Linked DNA regions of Cricetulus griseus. Each later gene encodes a partner of the first gene's protein in a complex. Links are inferred from orthologs where the notes say so. Each region holds a gene or a part of one and is shown on either strand. Other genes may lie near its edges.

Region 1 (3,916 bases):
CTTGCTGTGAGGAAGCAAAAACAAAAACAATGATAAGACATAACTGAAGAAATACTTCTTTAAAGGGGTCTCCAGCCAGCTTGACAAATCCTCGTTACAAAGTGAAGAAAATAAAACAACTTTCTAAATCAGTGTGATGGTTAATGTTATCACCTTGTCAGGCTCTAGAATCACCATGGCAACAAACCTCTGGGCATGTCTGTGAGGGAAATTAGGTTAACTGAGACAGGAAGATGAGCCCGAAAGTGGGCAGCACTGTCCCATGGGCTGGGGTCCCGGACTGGATAAAAAGGAGAAAGTGAGCTGAGCCCCAGCATCCATCTCTCTGCTCCTTGACTGTGGATGCCATGTGACCTGCTGCCTTATGCTCCTGTGTCCATGTCTTCCCCGCCATGATGGACTGTACCCTCAGACCATGAGCCAAGCTAAACTCTTTTACCCTAAGTTGCTTTTGTCAAGGTATTTTATCCCAGCAATAGAAAGAGTGACTAATACATTCAGTCAGCATCAAGTCAGGCTGAATGTGCTGTAATCAGCTCCCTACAAAAGCAACAGAAGTCTCACTCTTTGATACCATCAGGAAGGATGCTCGTTTGTGCACACAGGATTGTGCTTAGTCAAACAAAAGAGGAAACTCCTCAGCCCATATGGACAAGTAGGAAGCTCCAAGCAGTAACCAAACTCCAGAAGAGTGCATGCCTAACATCCACAAAGCCCTGGGTTTGGTCCCTGCAGCACATAAAACCAGGTGTGGTGGAACGTGTCTGTAATCTCAGCATTTAGGATGTGGAGGTAGGAAGACCAGACCTTCAAGGGCATCCTCAGCTATATTGTAGGGAATTAAAGGCAAATCTGGGCTAGAGACACTCTCTCAAAAAGTAAGTACTAGGAGTTGGCCAAGAGGCTTGTTTAGACTTTTAAGGATTTGTATATACTGTAGGGGGACAGAAAGTATTTTAAAAGACATGCTGAAGGAAAAGGGAGAGCAGGAAATATTTCTTTCCCTTTTGGCACTAGGTAAAATTTTCATTGAATTTTTTGTTTCCCGGGGATTGTGTTTACTCTTCTAACCTGCCTCAGTGAGATTCTACATGTATCTGCAAATGGGCTGGGAATATGGTTCAGTCTGTGAGCTGCTTGGTGTGCAAGCATGAGATCTTATAAAAAGTGGGGCCCAGTGGGCTACACATGTTACCCAACATTGAGGAGGCAGAGACAGAGGACACCTGGGGCTCGGTAACCAGCAGTGTAGCCAAATAATGAGCTTCAGGTTCACCAAGAGATCCTACCTCAAAAAGCAAGGGGAGAGTGATTGAAGATGTCACCCACCGCTGATCTACACAAACCTCCACAAAGGCTCACATGCTCACACGGGAGCACAGACTCCCCTGTCTTCAGGATAACTTCAAGACTCTGTTGGGAGAACATAATGAATTTCTAGGGTTCTGATGGTTGGGACTTTGGTTTACATGAAACACTTTCCTGTATAGCATGACTGGGGGAACTGGGTGAGAATTAAGAACTAAGAGGCCATTGGCATAAAAGAATCGTTCCTCTCTTTCACAGGGAGAATGGCATTAAAGCTTGGAGAATGTACAGTTCAGTATTTCACCATAGTGGTCACCATAGTATCTACAGCCTGGCTCTCACACCAAGCAGTGCTCTTTGCTGGGCTGTCTGGGTACTTGCCTAGCATTTGGGAAGCAGTTTGGGGTGTCAAATGTTGCTTAAGGGCCCCTGAGTTAAAAAGCCTTTGTACCTGGGGTGGAACTAGGGAAAGTGGTGATTTCTAGTAAGAGGTCTTTGGTCATATGATCATAAGGGATGTGACCTCACAGGAGACTGCTGGACCCTGACTTCTTTCTCTTTGTCCCCAGGACTCTTTAGCCAGGAAGTTTAGCCCTGAATGCACTCTCAACACTCTGAGCATGGCCGGCTGCTCTGGCACAGGCTCAAAGCAATGGGGCAGCCAGTCATGGACCAGACTACAAGCAAACCAACCTTTTTCTCTTATGCGTGGATTAGCTAGTGTGCTTATTGCAGTGGTGAGCGCTAAATAACAAGAGATTTTATGTTACTTAAGCTGTCCTGTAGGACACAGAAGACATTGACTTCTGTTTGTCTAAACTTCAGCCTGGGAAGAGTTAACTGGTTAGTAGGGATAGCCTAGACCAGCTGTGGGAATCCACATCTGTAATCCCAACACTGGGGAAACTGAGGCAGAAGGTTTGTGAGTTCAAAGGCAGTCTGGGCTATATCGTGAGACTCTGTCTCCATCCTCGTTAGAGGATTAAAAAGAAAAAAAAAAAAGTGTTGCCTACCTTGTCCCTGCTCAAGGCTCATGACTTGTACTTTCTGGTTTGGAGGGGAAAGAGGGAGGTTGTAGCTGCCTCCAGATCGGTAGCTGGGGTCCCTCCCTTTCTCTCCTCCCAGCCAGCCCTGTGCTCTCCCCCCATTCCCTCCCTGCTATTCCCAGCGGGTGGAGTCGTGCGAGCAGTCCTTATCAATGGGCACAGGCCTGTTAGCACTCTTGCTACCTCCTTTAGAGAGCGGCAGTCCCTAGCCTGGCTGTGGATCTGGTCGGATTGGGTAGGTTCAGCCATGGTTTCTCTGGGCTTGGGGGTCGCCCAGGATCCTGGACGCCTTGTAGGACGCTGAGCGGGTCGCCGAAATAGACACCGAACTCCCGAGTGGCCAGAACGCAAAGGCGAACAACAATCGGAGGAGCACTGGCACCATGAGCCTCTGGCTGTCATCGTGGTGGCCACCTTCACTGCTGCTGCTGCTGCTGCTCGCCAGAGCAGCGCACACTGTGAGTACGCGCCCCTCCAGGACGCGGACCCGAGCGACCAGCCCGCGTTCCTCTACTGGGTCCTAGGAATTATGGGGAGCAGTCGATCTCTCCTTGCTTAACAATGGCATCGTTCACTCTGTCGGAGTCCACTTCGGAGTCCCCTTCTCCAAAGGCAAAACATCCTGGGCTCTTTGTCCCAGGTGAGGCAAATCTAGGCTCAGACCCCTCGACCTTCACTCATCCCTTCCGGCCCGCTGAACCCACTTCTTTCCAGCGGCCCCAGCAATGATAAGTGTGCTGCACACTTGCCCTCTAGTGCTTCATCAAAACCCCCTCTGCCCTTTCTGAGACCCGGGTCACTCAGGCTTTACAAGCAAGGACACCAAGGCTCAGAAAAGAGAGGGGGAGGTTTACTCCATGTCAGAAAAAAAAAAGTCAGAACCCACATTCTTCAGGCTAGCAGCCTGACGATTTTACACGCTCCGGGTTGCAGATGAAAAATTTTAGAAAGCGATGAGTAGAGATTTTGCGTCTGTGGTGGGACCATTTTCAGTCCCGTGTGTCGTCCACCTCCCTTCGCCTCCCCCCCCCCGCCCCCCGGGACTGGATTTCTAAAGTCTGTGCCTGTGGGCTCCTGGGAGCAGCGGGTTGCAACAAACTCAGGGCAGGAGAAGAAAGTTGGAGCAGAGAGAAGCCAGGGGGTGGTTTGTGTTTCTTTCCCATAGAAACCCTGGGAACTTTGGGCGGCTTCCCCTGGGATATCTGGAGAGACAGGCTGCATTGAGGCTGGCAGGATGGAAAGAACTGAGGAGAAGGTCAAGGCTTCGGGGTTGAGGACTCCAGGGTTACTCCTCCCGACAAGCTCTGCAGAGTGTGCCCCACTCCCCCCACCCCAGGTATGCGTTCTAAGAAACCACTGGGAATATAGATCCCGAGATGACTGTCTAGGTTAATGACTTAGTTTTCCGTTTCCTGAAGCATCTGTGCAACTCCAGGGCTGCAGGAACAGGCTCAGCTTTCTTTTTTTTTTTTTTTTTTTTTTTTTTTGTCTCGAAGGGATGCTCCTGGTTATTTCAGGAATAAACAGATAGGGAAACTGAGGCTTTTTTGGTTCAAGTCTTC
Region 2 (2,351 bases), on another chromosome or scaffold:
TACATAAGACCTCCTCTCAAAGATTCAAAGCAAAAAACTCCAAAGCTCAAACCTAACCCCTCCCCCCAAAATACAAGCAGAACTGGACTTGGTGACCCGTGGTTGCAATCTCTGCTTTTGAGAGGGTAAGGCAAGGAGATTGCTGAGGGTTCCAGACCAATATGGGCTACATAGTGAGTTCAAAGGCAGCCTGAGCTATGTACTCTGTCTCCAAAAACCAAGCCAAATAAAACATTCCCAATAACAAAAAAAAACACACGATTTTTACTCAAGAGCTAGTTCATAACTGTTTGTTAGGTTTGTAATTTGATTTGTCTTTCCGGTTTGGGTTCCGGTGCTGCATGGAACTCAGGTCCTGGTGCACGCTAAACAAGTGTTCTACCACTAAGGTTCCGGACTCCGGGGATGAAGATGTTTTGCAAGCCTATCTGTCATCAATCCCCATTCATAACTCCTCCTCCCCACTCCCCTACAACCTCCATGGCCTGCTTTTCTCTTTTTCTAACCCATCTCTGCTTTCTGCTTCCAACATGAATAGGCTGTTTTCTTCCATCCAAAAAATGCAACCTCGGGGCCTAAGAGGATTCCCATTTTTGCTTCGGATGCTGGGCTGACCTTACAGGCACTTCTCTGCATCTGTCTCCCTTGGGCTGCTAGGACTCTGGCCTCCTTTCCCCCTTCTGAGGAAGAGTGCTCCAGGGTCTAGGTCTAGGCCAGGCGCCAATATGAACTGAGGCTCTAGAGGCCTGGCAGTGCGGTTCCCTCTGCCTGTCTGAACTGCCATACCCTGTTCCCTGCCCCTGGTCCCAGATGGAGGTGTCCATTTCGCTACCTGGTAGCATTACCCCTCTACTCCCCACGCCCAGCCAGCTGAGGGGCGCCAACACGGCGGTGGGGACAGGAGGTGGCCGGACGACAGCTGGGGGGGCGGCCCTGACCTTCCAGCAATCGATGGGGCGCGGCCGGCCGCGCGGAGCCGGGGCGGTGCCGGAGCCCCCTGCCTGCCGCAGGGGCAGCTATAAAGCAGGGGCGCGGGGCTCAGGCTGCAGTTGCACACACAGAGCCGGACCATGGAGCCTCCACTGCCCACACCGCCGCTACTGCTGCTGCTGTTGCTGCTCGTGGGCTCCGCCGCGCTCCCTGCGCCCCCCAGGTGAGCTGGGTAGGGGGACTCCACTTCACCACGGCCACGCCCACAGGCCCATTTGGTCGTACTCTGAGCCCCCTCACGCCGCCTCTCCCCAGGATCCCAAGGCACTCAGACGGGACGTTCACCAGCGAGCTCAGCCGCCTGCAGGACAGCGCCAGGCTGCAGCGCCTGCTGCAGGGTCTGGTGGGGAAGCGCAGGTGAGCAGCCTGAGGTAGAACTCTCCAGACTTGCTGGTATGGGACAGGCCTGGCATGGTCCCCTATCAGCAACCTGCCACATCCCAATACTACCACTAATTCTAAATTGGGCTGGGGTGGGGGGCAGTGAGCAGGACACAGAAAGTATCCCAGAGAACAGCCTGGCCCGGTCCAAGCCTTCAGAGGACCAGCTCTGCTTGCTGTGGTCGAACACTCAGGCCCTACAGGACTGGTGAGCATTCCACCCTCAGCTGGACTCCTAAAGCACCCTTTCCTGTTCCCTCGCCACGTGGGAGCGTGCGCTCTAATGGTCACTTCTAATCCCCTGACCACCTATCTCCCTCCACAGGCTTCTCCCCAGGCTTCCCCTGGATGGGTCCTGGTCTCCCTGGCTGCCTCCTGGACCAAAGCCTGCCGTCGATGTTTCAGAGTGGACTGAAGCAACCAGGCAGCCCTGATGAGGGAGGAAGGGGCCTGGCTGGAGCCAGGGTTTGGTTGTCCTTGGTATCAATAAAGAAGGAATTTAGACCCTGGTCTTTTAGCTCATGGTGTGGTGATGTCTTATAAAATCAAGGCAACCCCTGCTCAGTGAGCTTGGCAGGTGTGGACAGTTCCGTCAACCTCATACAATGGCTAGGACCACACCCAGCTGCCCTTTGAACTTGGGAGGTCAGCTAAGACATTTCTTCCTTATCTCCAACATCAACTGTACTCCTCTTTCCCCAGTTGAACTCCCCAGTGTCCCACCCTGCCCTGGGATCCCAGGGATCCCAGCCCTGGTTCAGCCATGTGGTCGGGGTGCTTAGAGTAACGAAGAGGCCCAGGCAGGACAGATAGGCTTTACTTGTGAGTGGAAGGACCTGCCTGCATGTCTATGTGGTCTTGGCACAATCCTGAGCCTGGATAGTGATGTCATCTCCCAGTAGACAGCTGTGGGACCACTGAAGGGTCATGAGACAAAGTACTTAATCCTGACAGAGGTCTGGAGACTCAGGCATCCAGAG

What was found.
Region 2: the proteins of Sctr (region 1) and Sct are in contact, whole or in part, in a cryo-EM structure (PDB 6WZG), measured with the Homo sapiens proteins. The link is inferred for Cricetulus griseus from reciprocal best matches to the Homo sapiens genes SCTR and SCT. Residues at the interface, in NP_002971.2 of Homo sapiens: Arg30, Leu31, Cys32, Leu35, Asp71, Asn72, Pro117, Val125, Val127, Asn128, Asp129, Asn132, Arg135, His136, Leu139, Leu140, Leu142, Lys143, Tyr146, Tyr150, Arg188, Asn192, Lys195, Leu199, Phe200, Ser202, Asp203, Val205, Met219, Phe222; in NP_068739.1 of Homo sapiens: His28, Ser29, Asp30, Gly31, Thr32, Phe33, Thr34, Ser35, Glu36, Leu37, Ser38, Arg39, Leu40, Arg41, Glu42, Arg45, Leu46, Gln47, Arg48, Leu49, Leu50, Leu53, Val54.

Annotation. Positions count from the first base shown.
Region 1 is NC_048598.1:68,524,828-68,528,743, reverse strand, and holds the start of Sctr (secretin receptor), read left to right. Parts: upstream 1-1,491; coding exon 1,492-1,508; intron 1,509-2,675; coding exon 2,676-2,871; intron 2,872-3,916.
Region 2 is NC_048596.1:59,906,778-59,909,128, forward strand, and holds Sct (secretin), read left to right. Parts: upstream 1-1,070; coding exon 1,071-1,153; intron 1,154-1,245; coding exon 1,246-1,347; intron 1,348-1,474; coding exon 1,475-1,579; intron 1,580-1,696; coding exon 1,697-1,805; downstream 1,806-2,351. UniProt on the Homo sapiens protein: Hormone involved in different processes, such as regulation of the pH of the duodenal content, food intake and water homeostasis.